2 linked regions of the Bombyx mori genome follow. The protein of the gene in region 2 binds, or shares a complex with, the protein of the main gene of each other region. Links are inferred from orthologs where the notes say so. Each region holds a gene or a part of one and is shown on either strand. Other genes may lie near its edges. The genes, in order: merlin and serine/threonine-protein kinase Warts.

What was found.
Region 1: the proteins of serine/threonine-protein kinase Warts (region 2) and merlin are in contact, whole or in part, in a crystal structure (PDB 7LWH), measured with the Homo sapiens proteins. The link is inferred for Bombyx mori from reciprocal best matches to the Homo sapiens genes LATS1 and NF2. Residues at the interface, in NP_004681.1 of Homo sapiens: Pro69, Lys70, Phe71, Gly72, His74, Ala77, Leu78, Glu80, Ile81, Arg82, Ser84, Leu85, Phe88, Ala89, Asn90; in NP_000259.1 of Homo sapiens: Pro135, Glu136, Ala137, Val139, Leu140, Tyr144, Asn175, Leu176, Tyr177, Gln178, Met179, Met183, Trp184, Arg187, Trp191, Glu206, Ile210, Asp213, Leu214, Glu215.

The regions. Positions count from the first base shown.
Region 1 is NC_085122.1:2,604,470-2,613,888, forward strand, and holds the start of merlin, read right to left. Parts: upstream 5,683-9,419; 5' UTR 5,445-5,682; coding exon 5,358-5,444; intron 1,866-5,357; coding exon 1,736-1,865; intron 1,602-1,735; coding exon 1,396-1,601; intron 33-1,395; coding exon 1-32. Other genes in the region: RRP12-like protein, read left to right, coding at 6,231-6,366, 6,575-6,827, 7,518-7,644, 8,030-8,329, 8,439-8,522. UniProt on the Homo sapiens protein: Probable regulator of the Hippo/SWH (Sav/Wts/Hpo) signaling pathway, a signaling pathway that plays a pivotal role in tumor suppression by restricting proliferation and promoting apoptosis.
Region 2 is NC_085112.1:13,708,153-13,717,423, reverse strand, and holds the start of serine/threonine-protein kinase Warts, read right to left. Parts: upstream 4,884-9,271; 5' UTR 4,593-4,883; exon of another isoform or gene 4,560-4,592; intron 4,250-4,559; exon of another isoform or gene 4,223-4,249; 5' UTR 3,973-4,222; coding exon 3,721-3,972; intron 1,742-3,720; coding exon 1-1,741. Other genes in the region: thioredoxin domain-containing protein 5 homolog, read left to right, coding at 6,956-7,095, 7,638-7,774, 7,890-8,008, 8,355-8,492. UniProt on the Homo sapiens protein: Negative regulator of YAP1 in the Hippo signaling pathway that plays a pivotal role in organ size control and tumor suppression by restricting proliferation and promoting apoptosis.

The sequences.
Region 1 (9,419 bases), on a different chromosome or scaffold from region 2:
TCGTCATAGTCGCCATACTGAAAAACATAGGCCTTTGGGAAATACTAGTTAGGTATTAACTTCAAAACTTATGGACAGTTAAGGCGTTCTTTAACGTTATTCTTTCCTTCAAATTTCTTTTTTGTTGCTTAGATGTGTGGACGAGCTCACAGCCCTCCTGGTGTCAAGTGGTTAGTGGATCCCACAGACGTCTACAAATGCGCCACCCATCTTGAGATATAAGTTCTAAGGTCTCAGTATAGTTACAATGGCTACCCCACCCTTCAAACTGAAACGCATTACTGCTTCACGGCAGAAATAGGCGGGGTGGTGGTACCTACCCGTGCGGACTCACAAGAGGTCCTACCACCAGGCCGGAATTGAGGACGCACCATTATTTTCAGTTTGCGCTAGGCCCACCAGATGCTAAGCTGTTACCTGACATGAGTCTGAAAACCTTTCAAACTGGAACCCATGACTGCTTCGCTGCAGAATGTGGCAAATTGATGATACCTCCACCTTATTACACAACACCACCTCTTTTGTGACTTTAGTATAGTGTGACTTTATTATTTCTCCACATATCAAGGGAAACAAACGCATTATTGATATGAAAAAAATAATTCAACGTAATAAATTTGTATAGGTTTGAAAAGTAAGGCTGTGGTGACGCTGGGAATATCTCTGGGCCACCAGCAATCCCATCTTAAACCGTCCCAACAAACCAACAACAAGACTTTTCAATTCAATATTTAATGGTCAAAAATCTTAAATCCCCACATTCAAAGACCAGTTTTTATCGCAAATACTAGACCTCTACTCGTTTTTGTTACTAATAGACACTCACTGATATTAATCCGTGAGGTACGCTGTGAGTACAGCAGAAGACTGTCCACTATGTGATCCTTATTGACACAATAGATTTGATAGTAAAAACTGCGTAAAGGTATCCCAACTGCGTCCTGGAACAATCTTCTTAAAGACTAAACGCGTAGAGCGATATCTCCATATTGGACCTAATCACGATTTTTGAAAAAAATTTTCTACCTACTCTGGTAATATCGAGGGGTTATACTAGATTCGCAGAACAAGCAGATGAGTTCACAGGGCTCTAACTTGACGACGTTGGTAACACGCCCTAGTAAGAACAGTACATTGCAGAATCTACCACCGGATCGGAAACGCGACCCACTGAGAATATCCGGCGAGAAACTCAGTGGGCTGTGTCTGTGGATTAATTTACTCGGCGAGCCCTTCGTTGCAAGCGACGGGTTTGGATTACCGGTGCTTGAGGTACCTAAAAGCACCGTTAGTGGATCGGGAGGATCCGTAATGACGTGTTTAGGGCGACGTCGACTGATTACCATTCGATCCGCAGGATCGGGAATGATCTAATCACACAATTCTAAGACTCACTTTAGCTTGTACAGCGTAACTGGCCAGTAGGACGGAAGCCTCGGGGGGACAGTAGATGTCCATGCTTAATATCGCCTGCTTCACCTGGAGGAACAGCAGGTGCTGTGTGACCTCTTGGATCAGTTCTTCGGCCACGTCCTCGGGATACAACTTGCAGAGTAACATGAAGGGAGTACCTGGCATTTGGGAGACGCATTGGTCTTGTACTGAAAATAAAACACAGGTACATAAGTATAATACAAAACAAAAGAATATAGGACATTCTATTGGTACAATTCGGCCTGAGTAAAAGTAGTTCTAATAATGTAACCGTAAATAAACAAATAAACTTTACTGATACCTCTCTTGTCCAACTTCAGCCAGCTTATAAAATGTTTTGTGTCTTCGAATTGGAGACCGAAGAACCATGTTTCACGTAGGCCAATTGTCCTGCACACCAGGTCGAACAAATCACGACCCGTAGCTCGCCACTGGAACACAATCGATTCCTTAGCTCTGTGTGCTTATTGAGAGTTCTTTAACGTTCTCGACAGCGCAAAAGTTAACTCAAAATTGTATGGAGTTACAGCGTTTACCGTTAGGGGCGCTGTTCCAACTGCATACAAATTGGAGTTAACTTATACGCTATCGAGAACGTTAAAAAACTCGCACTAAGCAGTGATCGCAATTTGAATACCGGAACGAAAAAACGACACCAGGTAGAGACAAACATATGCATATACAGGAATGTGCCTACCAGAGAATGAGATAGAATTCTTCTGAAGGTTTCACTTCTAACTTTCTACGTTAATATACCTTAACCTTTTTAAACACTATTGTTATTGGAATTTAATCTTACAGCGTAATGGACAATTTATGCCATTGCTATTTTGACTAGTGCACTTATAAAGTCATAGGCCTTATCTATTGCATTTATAATGTAAGATGAAGAATATCAATTACATTGTTAGTAAACTGGATTAAATGAATTGAAGTGAATCACATTAAATTGGTGCCCGTCTGCGGGATTCGAACGCCAGCACATTCATATCACTCGATACGATCACACCAGGCGTCTTATCCTTTAGGCCACGACGACATCAAAACATTTGACATTTACAAGTTCATTTCTTTTACAGTACCTACATATTATAATTTCAATACTGTTACGCCGATAAGAGTAACGCCATCTATCGCCGATCGTCAAAGGACCTAGAAGTACAACGCCATCTATTGTCAGATAGCGGAAACTACTACTAGAGATGTGTGGAATATTCTAGATAATTCTAGGAATGTGGTATCAACTATAAAAGCGTTGCAGGGATGGCACGCAGTCAGTCAGTAATCGGAACTACTCGAAGCGAAACAGCGAACGGATCACCTGAAGCGAAGCGAAGCGAACTGAGAATTTTAACGTGTTTGTAATGTGTTTAAGCGTTTTAAGTGTTGAATACAGTTTTTAAGTTGTACTTTAGTGGAATTTTATTTATCCCGAACCCCAGCGCGTAACAATATTAATAAATCAAATAAATTAAGTTAAAAATTAAGTCAAATAAATTAAATTCCCTTATTAGCAGCTATTTAAAAAACAACGTTCTAAATAATTGTAAGCATTTTAATTAGCAAAACTACGCATCGCCATGTTATCATACAATGGAATTTGAATGATAAGAATAACATGCTAATAGTGTTATTTTGTAAGGAATACATTATCTTCTACAGATATAAAAATGAATATTTGTAGCTTTGTTGTTGTTCGTTTTCTATGTGATGTCAAACACAATTAAACAGAATCTAACCAAACCATAAATCTAAAGGTGGGCGGTGACAGTCACATTTATAATAAATGGGCTTTGGTAAAGATTTAACTTCGGTGAACCGTGATTTAGTCTACTGATTATTAGGGTTAAGGGTGCGTTATCATTTTAATATTATTAAATAATAAAAATTGTAAAAGTAAGAAACAAAACCTTGATCAAGTAACATATCCCTTTTTTAATTTATGTAAAAAAATTCAATGACAAATTATTCAGCCATCTTATTATAGTTTAAAACATAGTTCTTCTGGTTAGAAGTAGATTGTCCTTTTCATTCCATTTGTCTATTCAGCAATAGCAAGGTTATAAATCCTGTTCAGTAAATTTCTTGACTACTCTTAACTATATAACAGCGGTCCCATCCTTCAAACAGGAGCACATCATTGCTAAGTAGCAGAATTAGGGAGGATCATGGTGCCTACTAGATAGGGCCTACAATATGCTCTAATACTACTGTAAACCATGTTATGTTGGTATACAACTAAGGGAACTATACTGGCTGTTCTCTGGTCAATCTTCGAGTTGCCTTTTCTGACACCCACAGAAAGCTTTGATGTGGTGAAATTTTAGGCATGATTTAATTTATTATTACAATTTACCTCTACCATGCAATTAAGGAAATATAATTTACTAATATTAATAAACAATTCAACAATACAATAATGCTCTTATTTATCCTTAATTATAATGTATTTTGTAATTATACTCAATATTTTTACTGTTATTATTTATATACATATAATATATATATATACGCTTTTAATACATATACATTATATAATACAAATATTTTATTCTTTCAATATTAGTGACGACTCTTAACACTAACTTAGAAAGAAAATTCATCAACACTGTCACTAATGTTAGTGATGTTTAGAATGTATTTTCGAATACAATAATGTATAGTAATGTTTGTTTATTAAGTTTTTTTTTATTGCCTAGATGGTTTGACGAGCTCACAGCCCACCTGGTGTTAAGTGGTTACTGGAGCCCATAGACATCTACAACGTAAATGCGCCACCCACCTTGAGATATAAGTTCTAAGTTCTCAGTATAGTTACAACGGCTGCCTCTCCCTTCAAATCGAAACGCATTACTGCTTCACGGTAGAAATAGGCAGGGTGGTGGTACCTACCCGCACGGCCCCACAAGAAGTCCTACCACCAGTAATTACACAAATTATAATTTTGCAGGTATGATTTTTATTACACAATGTTATTCCTTCACTACGGAAGTCAATCGTGAACATTTGTTAAGTATGTATTTCATTAGAAAAATTGGTACCCGCCTGTGGGATTCGAACACCAGTGCATCGCTCAACACAAATGCACTGGACGTCTTATCCTTTAGGCCACGACGACATCAAATCACAGGTCTCTTAGAGTGGAGCTGTTAGCTAGAGCTGCTATTGGCACAATGGCTGAACATATTCTTTTATGTTGAGACTTCATTGTACTATTTCTGATAAAATTTAATCTTTGACATTCAGTTGAGTGATAACTCATGTTATAATGTCAAAGGAACTCATTAATCTTCACACAAAATATACAGCATTTACAATGTTAAGTATAGTAGAAACTTCTTTGTTAAAAAAATTATATACATCCAAATATATGTGATATTCAAGTTTACATATTTAGCTTGCTTTTAAAAACTGTCTAAAGTTACACATTCTAAAGATATTTATTATAATTAATATAAAATGACTTCTGTTTTTACACTCTTTAATTTTTAAAATTACATTAGTGTTTCTAATATTTAGGAAATGAAAACATTAATCCAAACAAACTTTTTAATTAAATTTCTGAATATTATATTTCTATGTTTTTTAATCAAATCATTTTAAAAGAAATCATCATCATGAAGAAATTTCAAAACTTAAATATTTAACGCGAGCAACCTTACATACATGGTAAAAATTTAAAGATAATTATTATTTATAATGACATTTTTATTAAGCAATGTGGTCAAACAGATAAGAGTCATAGAAGATATGATCATTATACCCTCAACATACAAAGTACTTGCAATGTTCATTAATATCATCAATTAACAAGTGCAGGGCGCCTCCGCATGACTCATAATACGATCGGATGAATACTTAGTACCTACTAAATGGAAATAGTGTAAACAAAAAGGTTTACCACAACAGAAAATACAGTTTACCTCGAGGTTGAACTCCAATTCAGCATCCAATGTGCATACTTTAACTGGAAAAGATTTAGCAGCTTTCTTCCTCCGGAAGGGCGGCATTATTCTTATATCATTTCTCGTTTACAAGAATCACGAAACACCACCGAGGTTATGAATTTTCAACTAGCATTTAACTAATTACACGGCAACGTCTCCCGTTTACGTAATGAACACTCGATAAAGGAATGCGTGTAATTTCACATTGCGTACTATTTCCAGCGGTTATTATTTACAAACAAGAAAAACGTCAATGAAACAAGCAATGCGAAGGTGAATGAAAAACCTATTGAAAGGTAAACGTTCCATTCTACTTTAAAATACATCGGACTGGTCATTGAAATGAAGTTTAGGTCACGTATAACGAAACGTAATATGGATTTGAAAAATGAAAGAAAAAATCGGACAATGGGTTCAATGAAGTGATATTAGTTTAATAAAATGTTGCGGTTGATTCCTGAACTGAAATAGTTTATTTTAATATTATTATTTTTTAGATATTTAATTAATCTAATATTTTTTAAGTAATGTTTTTATTCCGTAGTTTACCTAACTCTAAACTTCAGCTCTCGACCCCGATTAGATGTGATCCACAGTATTTCTAACTACTCTTAAATCTAATTGAAACAGTTTTACTTTGCAGGATAAGACTTGCGTTCATTATCCATTTTGCCTAGAAAGAATGTGTTTGACGTTTGACAGTAATTTGACAACTATTTCATTTTGCTTGCTGCATAGACCTATTTCCTACTTCATTGGCTTGCTGTCATTATTTTCAATCAAAACACTGAACACTTTTTCCCCACGTGTGTTACATCTTTCATTTGCATATTGTTATGAAATACTAAAATGGGTAAATTTAGATCAAAACTTAAAGGCAAAACGAAGGGGAAACGATGGCAGAAAGGACAGTCATCAAATTCGAACCCGAAAATTCAAAAATACAGGGAGATGGCAAAATCCCGGTTTTTTCAGGAAAACTTAGGTATGTTCTCTCTAAAACTTCTCAAAATCATTCGTTATGGAAAAACGGATTTATAAACATCACAAAAAGTTGTTGAACAGTAATTTCAAAGTAAAATTTCCTTATAAAATCATAACCTAGAACATGACTAAATTAACTAATCTCATACTTTTTATGTTAAAATTAAGATAATTTCCTTATAAGTGACTCCTCTAATTAACTTCTACAGGCAGCACTGGCTTAACACAGCAAGCGGTGTCCAAGCATGAAGCTATGATGACATATGGACATAAAACTAACAAAACAAAATCAGATGCTGAAAATGAACTGACCATAGTAAAAGAGCTTGAAAATATGTCGGTCAAGACCGGAGACGAGGGATCAGAGTCTGAATACTCTGGTACATTAAGATCAGGAACATTTAAGACATTTCAAACATTTGCATCTGATTGGAGTCAATGTTCAAATATCAGCTTTCATAAGTAAGTTAAAGTTTAAATAGATATTTTAATTTTATTGCAGTATTTGAGACAGTACCTGAAAACAGGTTTCTATACTCACAATTGCTAATGTGATATTGAAAATAAAATACAAAATGTGGATAATTACTTAAGTAAGCCTTTATATGCACTTTAGTTATGACTTTAAATAGTCATGACTAGGAATTATTTGGAAAACTACTTGGAATAGAAATTATTTGGAATTCAGTGGAATACTGAATTATAATTCTAAGATGAAACTTAGGACATGTTCTTCTTAAAAAAATCTCTTTTAATCTTTTTTCATTTCATACTTTAAGTACCACTTTTTCATGAGAGACTTGCTTATTATAAATTTGGAATAAATTATATCAAGTACTAAGAATTTTTGTGAAATAATTTATGACCAAAACTCATTGCAACAAAATAAAGTATGCACCAGTGAATAAGTAAGAGCTAAACAAATATACTCTCAGATATATTCAATTGATACTTGCAGAAGAGAAAGTATTTATACATATTTGGCTATAATTTTACTTTATTTTTTATATTACTTTGACTTAAATCAAAATCAATTTACCGAAATACCACATCACATCTTTTTATTTCTTCAATAGATTGAGTCTTTAAGTTTAATGCTCTTCATTCCTTTATAAGCTAAGATACACTCATTTTTTATAAAATTTACTGTAGATTGCTAAATCGTTTTGATTCAAACAATGCACTGCACAAGGAAATGCTAGCAGTGCTGGCGGCTGTGACTGAAGTTATCAAAGAACAAGGAGGTAAAGAGACTACAACGGAATACTTTGCTGCTCTTGTAAGTAATAACGGTCATAAATTTCTTAAACTGAAAGCTGATATCTTATACTTGGATATATAGATACAGTGAAACTAATAATAAATAAAAATAAATGAAACTAATGTTTAAGTGATGGCAAAATTTTCAATAATATCTTCTTTTTGTCCAACTAGTGGGTCGGCACAGCAAATTATTCTACTCCATTCTTCTCTTTTATCAGCCGTCATCTTAACATTCACTTCCCTCTCATATCGTCATTCACACACTCCATCCATGTTTTCTTCGGTCGACCACCTCTACCTTGCACTACCATTTCCATACATATCCTAATCAAATGCACCTTCTCTCTACGCATCACATGTCCAAAATTTTTAATAATATACTACTATATATTTCTGTATAGATGGAAACTCTAAAGGCATCCGAACTGGAAGACAATTTAGTAGCCACAATAACTTTACTATCAATGGGCATCAAAGCAGTACCACAAGCAGTACTGCGTAAACAATTTTCGGACTCCTCAACAATATTTATGGAATTACTCGAGGAGCATGCTCAGTCTGAAAATGGAGCATTGCTGAGGAGCACAATTGGATGTCTGTCGGTGCTGCTGAGAGCTCAGGAGTATGCTGTCTGGGGTGATTCATCAACTATGAGAGTGTTTGAATCCGTTCTGGCCTTTGCACTGCACTCTAAACCCAAGGTCTGTTCTGAACCAGATATTAATTTTATTACTTTTTGAATTGATTTTTATATTGGTACAACTCACACATTCCAAATAGTAATTGTTTATAATTTTGTAATCTGTGCAGGTTAGAAAAGCGGCACAACATGCTGTGGTATCTATACTACGCGGAAGTAGCTTCATGATACCATCAGAGGATAAAAAAATTAAGGTATTTGAACAAAATCTAATTATATATTATGCTTTAATGAAACGTCCAAGTTTTCGAAGTGCATTTATTAAGTTACTGTTACATAAACAAAGAACGACAAATATATAATGATTATAATAATTATGAAAACAAAATAAGTTTTTTTTAATATGGTCTAAGAGCTGAGTTACGTTAGCAATACTAATGTCACAAACAAGCTGGTGCTGTATACCAATCTTCTCAAACCTCGTTTGAATTAGACCATATTGTGCACTAAATACTGTGGAATGGATTTCAACCCTCAATTCAATTCAAACGCAGTGTCTAGATCTCTAAGTGGTAAGAATCAGCTGTATTTCGGTACTGGTTACAGGACAGCACTGGTGGTGTGAAGGGTTTTTTTTATTGCTTAGATGGGTGGACGAGCACACAGCCCACCTGGAGTTAAGTGGTTACTGGAGCCCATAGACATCTACCACCGTAAATGCGCCACCGTGAGATATAAGTTCTAAGGTCTCTGTATAGTTACAACGGCTGCCCCACCCTTCAAACCGAAACTAATTACTGCTTCACATCAGAAATAGGTAGGGTGGTGGTACCTACCTGTGCGAACTCACAAGAGGTCCTACCACCAGTAAAAAAAGAGTGGAAAGAAATGGTTTGGTGAAACAATCTCTTAGAGCATTTTTAAATCTCTTATGAAACAAACACATTACATTGAATAATGACTTCAACGTGCAAGTGCACCAGACTAATTGTGTATATTCCAATAAAGCAAGTCCCTTGGTAGAACGTCTCAAAATTTTATAGCCAAATATGAATAAATAGTTTGCCTTAAACAAGTTTGATTTGAACATATTCTAGAGTATATTTGTTTGGCTTCAAAAATCACCGCATTAGTTAATAGTAGGTATCGTC
Region 2 (9,271 bases):
CGTCAGCTTTCCGAAGTGTCTTCATGGCATACAGATGACTAGTATCGATCTTTTTCACCAACGTCACCTCCCCAAATGCTCCCACACCTATAGGCTTAATCTTAGTAAACATAGACTTGTCCATCTTGGCCCTTTTCAATCGAATATAATTGGATTCCTTCTGGGACAGCATCTTTCTCATCTGACACTGAGCTTCTGCACTTAGACCTATTTTACTCATCTCCTTTTCGAGTTGCATCCTTCTGAACAGTCTCTGTTTATAAGATTTCAAAACGTTTTCCACATGCTGTTCCATAAAAAATTTGAAAGCTTGCGGTGAATAATTTCGGACTTTACAATCTCTTCTCTCGTCTTCTTTTTCTTTACTGTAATTTCTGCGTTCCGGTATTGGCGATTGATGCCTTATCTTATCTAACATTTTTGGTCGTCTGTCCGATGATCCGTTAGAGCCTTTGTCGGAGCCGGAGGCCGTGACGTTGTCTTTTAAGAGATTATTCGTACAGTTCTGGTTGGGACACTTAATTTCGTGCGGCCCTTGTGACGATTCAGGTTTACCGTCACAGTTATTCGAAATTTTCTTATGTAAAGGAGAATGGTGGGAATTAACAGTAGTCGTGTTGTCGGCTTGGTTACCGTACGGAGGCGGCGGGACGGGGTGCATGCCGCGTTGAACGGCGAGCACTTGCATCGTGATCGCATAACTTGGTGGCTCCGTGGTCGGGACGGCGGGAGGAATCGCAGTAGGTGTGGAGCCAGGAGACGACGGCTTCGGTGCCGACGGGTAGCTGGGCGGAGTCTGTGCCTGCTTCTGTTGGATGGAGCTCGCGTACGAAGGAGGGGGTGGGGGTGCTCCGGCACTGGTGGCTGGCGGTGGGGCAACCGGTGCTATCGCCGTTTGTAGTACCGGTTTCTGAACTTGTGTGCTTTTCACAGACTGCATGATGATAGGAGGCTGCACCGCTTGTCTCGCGGTCCACGCCTGGAGCGGCGTGGGGCGAGTCATTCCCGCGGCTGAACCAGTCGATTGCGTTACCGTAATTGGACTCGGCGAGCCGGCGGAGGTGCCTCCTGAATAGATCCCCGAAGATGGACTCTTCCTGTAATCCTGCGACTGGGTTGGGCTTTGACGATTTTGGATAGAGACCGAGTAGGGAGGAGGTGGCGGCGCACCCGACATCGGATACGGCGGTGGAAGTTCGCCGCCGCCACCCGTTTGATAGATACTGAGAGCTTGTATCTGCTGCGTAAGCTGCTGTTGCACTTGAGGTCCATTTTGTACAATCATGGGTTGTCTGGCAGGCGGCGTGGGTGCCGCGGCCGCCACGGGACTGGTGCCCCGCGCCGGTGGTAGAGGTGGCGCCGGCGACATGCGCTTGAGCAGTTGCTGCACGGAAGGCAGCACCGGCGGCGTGGACGGACATCGCGGCGGCGGAGGTGGCGGTGGTTCTGAGAAACCTGAAGGCGAATACTGTCGCGATAGCTTCTCGTGTGGTAGCGGCGGTGGCTCCGATTGACGCGGACTATCAGACCGGGAGCTACCAGCACCTGAATCAAGTGCAGGACTACCACGATGTAGATTTATCTCTCTCTCTAGACTAGGTTTCCGGATAAGTTTGGTGCCAAGAGCACTCAAGTTACTGCTTTTGAGGACGCCGTTGAGAGGTTCTTGCTGTTTCGACAAATAATCGAGAGCTGCATCAAAACGCCCTCCTGCATATTTGAGTGCCCTCACAGCTGGGTCCTGAAATGATTTTTTCTAAATAATATACTCATTATTCAAAAACAGAAGCAAAACAAGATAATGAAATTTTACCAAATTGATTATAATCTAAGTACACCGTGAATATCTCTTCTGACGGTGAGTGGTTACTAGAGCCAATAGACATCACAGCGTATATGCGCCGTCATCCATCTCGAGACAAGAGGTCTAATTTTTCAATTGTATAGTATATTAACTGTCCTGCCCTTCTAATTAGAGCATATTACTGCTTGACAGTAAAATTCGGTAGGGTGGTGTGCCCCACCCTGCAGCGGCAGGTACAAACCATCCATCTAATAATAAAAAATTCGGGCAGGGGGCTTAGGGGGCGCGTAGAGTATGTGGGTGTTGATGGTCCGTAGACATTGGGAGAGAACCGCAGGTCCAAGAACGTTTAGGGCCCTACCTACCAAAAGACTCTCCTTGCACTCTCTCCCCCAACGCCCGATCTTCGTCTGGGTCCAGTGCCCGAGCAGAGTAAGGGCAGAGTAACATTATAAATTAACAACCAACATTCGATCAATGGATAGTTGACGACCAACAAACCTAGTCTCTGTGTGGTAATATAATAATAATGGCATGGCAAAACTAGTATACCGAACTTCTTATGTAGATCTTGCTTGGAGTTTTTATTGTAATTTTGTTGTAGATTGTAATATAATTATTATCTTGCTGACTTATAAACTTTACATAGACAAACTATGTGAATATAATTCCTATTTTACCTCATTCTAATACTATTATATATGTTGAAAAAAGGATTTATTTGAGTACACAGTAATGTAATTTTTCGCCTGGGAAATTTATGAGAACAATTGTGAAAACTAAAAATTAAATTGATATTGGAGATCTTGAAAACTTCCTGCTATCAGTCACCGATGATACTAATAGCTAGAAGATACATATAATCCAAGACGGTAGAAAAAAAAGCATGTGTAGAATAATTTTAAAAAAATCTTTTTTTATCATTAATATTAGATTTTATTATTTTAGGCTTTATAACTAAGCCTATAGATCACAATAGGGGTTTTAAAAAATCTGAACACGAAGCTGAATTCAAAAATGCATTAAAATATTTGACAGCCTGCCCTTTAAACCAGAATACATGGTTAAAGTGTTAGGTATAGACAGAATATTGGTATATGACCATATTTATTCTCAAGACAATATGCATTTACAACATGCACAATACAATAATGAAAATAAAAATTAAAATCTTGTGTTTTTGTATTGTGAATAAATTACTTCTCAATTTAATTCTGGTCAACATTATATCCAAGAACACAACCTTAAGCATTCATTTTATAACTGTTATGACTATAAATTTGATTCAATTTAAATTATGTTTAACATGATTGTTGAAAATGAAAACAAACTACCACTGGTTTCATGATTGCCTATTCCTCATTCCACTGCAACCAGGCAATATGCAAGTAATTAGCTTGTACTTATAGTGTTTATGTTTAATTAAAATTTCTCAGTTATTGCAAATAACAATAACTTAAGTTTTACTCAAACCTGGTTAAAGATTGTCCTTAGCCTTGGTATTAATGAAAATGGACATTAATCACCAATAAATACTGATAATATCGGCCATACACTGCCTTCTACATTAAAAGTTGATAGTCTTTCTTATTATATTTTAATTGTATTATAAATTCCATGTATTTTTATATGTATATTTCTTCTGTGCGTGTGTTTGTCACTGAACTCCTCCTAAACGGCTGGACCGATATTAATGAAATTTTCTGTGTATCTTCAGGTGGATTTGAGAATGGTTTAGATTTATAAAGCAACCCGGCACTGCAGTCGGTATCTTTCCTAGAAATATTTTTATGGCAAAACAATGCCAGCCAGTTTTTTTATAAAAATTAAAGATAATGGAATAATGACACTAAAAAAACACTAATCATATCTGTTATTTAGAAACACTTTTAGCAATTCATTATAACTAAACTCACCTCATCATAACCCAAGGCAATAAGTTGGTTCAAGGATTGAGGTAGCACATTCAAGTCTTTATCGAGTCCATTTCCCGAAGAAGAACTAAACCCCGAACTCACTCCTGAACTAACTGTGCTAGCAGCTGATGAACCTGGCGGTTCAGAGTTTCCAATGTTCGCAAAGGGAAGCAATGAGTTTCTGATTTCGGCAAGCGCCTTCTGGTGGTATCCGGAGCGCGTAGCCGTTTTGCCGGGCGCCGGCGGGTTCATGGCGCCCGCGCCCGCGCCCGTGCGCCTCACCTCTCACCCCACGCCTCCCATCACATGAGCACACCCCACACCCTGTACATATCCTTGTTTATTATCCTCCGCACCATTTATTCAACACTCTAATTAAGACTCGCAGCACTGTCACTGTCTTTATTATCGAATTTATTTCGTTTATATATCGATTTCCTCACTAGTCAGTCTGTATCAACATTGCTTTTTGTGTAGCAGCGTGAAAGGTACTTTCTTTTAACTGAAAAATATTTTTAAATATTAGTACCTAATCAATTGAGAATTCCTCTTGCTTTAGATCCCTTAAATTTTATGTGATAATAAAATAATGAGTTAAATAAGTTAGATGAGAAAAGTTTGACATCTTGGCAACAGGATAGGGATATGATTTGTCGACTTTATACAGAACCTGTTTACAGTATCAGACAATTCGAGTACACAATTTTTAACAGTATCGCATTCTATCCAAGAGTACGAGGATGTAAGGAATGTCTAATGCGAATCAATCATGACATAGACTTGTGGAATTCCAAAATTAGAGGGAGCTCGGAAAGCAATGTTTCGTTCATTCAAGGCACTAAGAAGAATAATTAATTACTGTAATTCATTACCAGGCACTTTTTCACTTTCTGTAAATCCGTATTATATGCACAAATGTCATAATCCCATAAAATGAAATTCAGTTCGATCGACAGCTCTCACATTGCCGATGACATCTTTCTTGCACACTTAGTTTTGATTAGTCGCATTAATTTTTATACGGAAGAGGCAATCTGGAGTCGATAGAGTTGTGCTTTAAAGCGAGAGTTTCTAAGGAAATATGAAAACAAAGGACTCTAAAACACAGACATGCAAGTTGGCAAACCATACAAAGCGACCATTTTGAAGAATTACCACATTCTTTAGTGTGTTCGGATACACAGAAGATTAAATTCCATTTTGTTTGACGACTCTTTTTCGTAAAAAAGAACCCAGCTAAAGCACTCATCTGCTTACTAATGTAGGAATTTCTCTATTAAAAGTAATAATCAGACCTTTAAAAAAACACTTCTACAGAATTGTCGAAATGAAACTGTATCCGAATAATAAGAAAGTCACAGGCATGGAGTAAGTACCTAGTCACAGGACTCACAGCAAAAATCCTAACTGCAAAAATTCTAAAGAAAAAAAAAAGAGTATAACGGTCTAATTCTAAGACTGTTAAATTAAGAAATTTCTATCTGCTATTGCCTAATTCATTTTCTTCATAACAAGGTGACACTCTACAAAACATGCATACGTTCCATTGTGAAATAGGCTTGGAGTTAATAAGGAAATAGGTAAGTGTAGTGTTCGCTCACGCGTCCCGTTCACACATGAACTCTCTCCAGGTTATCCAATCCCATTTCTGCAAAATAGCCTTCGGAGCACCGTGGTACGTAAGAACTAATTAGTTTCTATCAGTAAAAACCTTATGGAAGCGTCGGAACGCTATTTTGATAAAGCGGCGTGCCATTACCTTTCCGCTTCTCATTACATATCCGACCCAGGCAACAGGGCAACCTAAAGCCGCCGTAGCCATTAACATATTCTTTCCGATCTTTCAGGTCCACTTTCAAAGATTCTTCTGTCGTTCGCTGTGCACGTTACTCTCTGCTGTGCTCGACGTATGAAATAGCTCATAGACACCACCCACTGAGATCTCGCCGGATCTTCACGGAGGGCTGTGATTCCGATCCTGTGTTAAATTCAACCAAGTACATCTCTACCTGAGGCCAGTGCTAGGAATTTTTTTAGGTTGTTGCTGTTGTCAAGTTGTGACTTTTTTATTTTTTTATTTACTGTTTCATCAGGTTTAGTATGTTATGACGGTGGTTTATTAACATTTTAGTATCTCTGAAAGTACACAAGGGTGGTTAAACGAAACAAAATAGTTGGATATTGCTTTTTGAATTCTTCCAAAGTCCATTGATCTTATCTTGTCATCCTTAACCTCCGAACTACCTATTATAATAGGCGGCGTGCGGCAAAATACAAACACCACAAAGCAACCAACGGTGGTATCCTTGGCGTCGTATCTCGCGAAAGTGTTGCAGGTCCCCGGTTAGGTGGTGAACAAATATGGCCAACGGTTCGCCCTTATTGGTGTTTGACGGCGATATATGCCGCGGCTTTCTTGTTGCGGTTCAAAGTCAACAGTTCAAAGAAGATCGTCGCAAATATTAACTCGTGCAGCGAGCATGAGAGGAAAGTATAAATAATACACATAATATCAGGAGAGCACAGATGAATATATTAGTTGGAGGAGAGTACAAAAGTTATGTGTATTATCTATGAGTACAACATTAAACGGACAATAAGTACGGCCTGTGTTCCAGCTGCGCCAGAACAATCCCGCACCGTGCCGGCTCCCTTAAGATTTTGTTTAATTCCAACCATTTTACTAATTATTTCATTGGTATGGTATTGTTTTATCTCAGTTCAGTTAATCCACATATCCTTCTTCAAACGAGGCTTGTGCAGAGTACTTAACGGCGAGAATACTTAACGGTAGGCAGCAGCTTGGCTCTGCCCCTGGCATTGCTGAAGTCCATGGGCGACGGTAATCACTCACTATCAGGTAGACCGTATGCTCGTCTGCCTATAAGGACAATAAAAAAGATATCTAATTTAATTTTTGATTCAATTTTTTATCAATCTATATCAGTTGACTTTCCACACAACAGACATAGATTCACCTTTGTTATAGAATATTACTGTGTATGTTATATGTGCTACGTTCCCTGTGCTGCCAATAGACAAACCAAACGAAAAAGTTTGAAGTGCTGTGCAGCAAAGCAAAATTTATCCAACAAATACGAAATTATTTGTTGTTTTAGATTTAACCTATTAGCTACTTAACTAATGAGAAGGAGAAAAGATATAAATGAAAACAACCTAAAAAAGTTACCTCAATTCACAGAGGCATTGTTTAGAAATATATTCCTTCACCACAATGAAGATATTACCATATCTATTTGTATTTCCGTATCTTGTAGCTCCTGAACAGAGTTCTGTTTACGAATACAATCCCAGTAATTTCAAATTCCAGATCGAAGAAATGGATGGAAACTTTATTATGTTTTACGCGCCATGGTGAGAACAATAATTGAATTTACATTATTCCTTTCAGTGATTAAATTCAAAACAATCTACATATTCATTTATTTATGATAAAAATTATACTAAATATTGAATCGAAACGATTTTATAAATAAACTTAATCTAATTTTCTTTAGTTGACCGAAATGTAAATGGTATACCGTAGTGACATCGATGAGGCCTATTGTGTGTGAACCTCTAATAGAAATTGAAAATACGAAGATCACAGCCAAGCTTCCGTTCAAAACAAAAGATTTGAATGCCCTCAATAAAAACGAACTGATGTGGGTAGTGGTGAAAAAGATCCTTCATACTTATTGACTAAACTACAAAGTTAGATGAGCATTTTTACAAAAAGGCTGACGACTGATTCAATGAGGGTAATTCACGATATAAAATTAAAAAAGTTGTTAACCATCCACAACTAAAGATGTGTTCCAAGAGAGTTTCAATAAAATACTGTTTGAAATTACCATAATATCTATATTTTTTACCATTACGGTACTATACCATTTACAGAAATTATATGTTTTAAGGTGTAGACATTGCACAGAATTTTATCCGATATGGTCAGAATTGGCAGAGCTGGTTAATACCAAGGACTCCAAATTTGCCATTGCCCAAGTTGACTGCACAGTGCATGCTAAGCTTTGTCATGAAAATGAAATAACAGGTACTTAAGTAAGCATACACATAATTTCCTTGTTTTTAAGTATGTACATAATAGAATTTTTTTTTAAAATAGGTACACTAGTTGATGGTGTAAATAAATTTGAAAAAAATTACAGGTTATCCAACATTATTTTATTTCCACAAAAATACATTTACACCAGTTGAATACAAAGGAACAAGGGACTTACCATCATTGACATTGTTTCTGAGCGAAGCCTTCTCTGTCAAAACAGAGGTGAGTAGTAGAACCATTTTGTCACTGTTGCTCAGAATTAAAAAAAATCATTCTTCATAATTCATTGCAAAAGTAGGTCAATGGGATTAAATTCTAGCCTACAAACATCACAAGATTAATGCCATTAGCCATAATCAGATATGAGGTTAAATACCAATGAGATTTATACTTAATTTAGACCATTTTGATGAATGGATATAAATGGAAGTTCTGTGTCAAAATTTATTAATAATATCACTTTATTATAATTTTTTCTGACTGACCTATCTTCATAGACTACAACATAAGAATGTGACTGAATATAAAATATAATATATATAAACCTGTATCCAATTTATTATTTCAGGGCAAACAATCAAAACAACCAAATGAAGTTAAAACATACAGCGGCATGTCCTATCTGAATGACCTGAATATTGAGAAGTTTGTGTCAAAAGGACAGCATTTCATCATGTTTTTTGTACCTTGGTGTCGTGCATCTCAGGTAATCCCAAACCTATAAAAAAATGATGTGGTACATTTTTCTATTGTAGAAATGAATGTTTCTACCATCAATGATGGGGATGATAAATTTTGACTTTGGTATGCAATGTCTGGCAAAAACTGTAGCACCAACTTACAAAAAAAATGTAGTGTATATCTATAAAGCAAAGCTTTGATATAAAGTTTTCAAGATTGGTTGCTATCATATAGACTAACTGGCTGGATACTATTTCAGTGACATGAGCCAATAAGGGTACAGTAGAGTTCTGAGAGAGATGCATGTACGTTTTAGCAAACCCCAGTACCAGCAGTGCTGGAGCCTCTGAATGGTGTTGAAGCTTTGCTAAGATGGCAGAAAGTAGAGGCCAATCAGTTATAGTAACTAAACTCTTGCATTGGATAAGATGGGCTGTAGAGGAAATACTCTTTTTTTCGCTTTGCCACTTCATTCTGCATTATCATGGTGTAACAGCAGAATAGCATTTGGGACCAAATTTTGTGTCAAATTAGGCCATTCTAGGAGAGCAAAAGATTTCATCTCTGGATTGAGGTCAATACACTACAAAACTGCTTTATTAGGGTTGGTGCACTATTTTTCTATTTCACAGCTCACATAAATCACTCGATCAGTTTTCAACTTTTTCATGCAGTCAATTACAACCATGATGCTCACTTATCAGTCAGTGACCATACCATCAGCACCAAGATGATGACCTTGATGGATCCCAGATCACAGCAAATAGAACAGCCAGTTTCCATTGTTATTTCTAGAATAAGGTT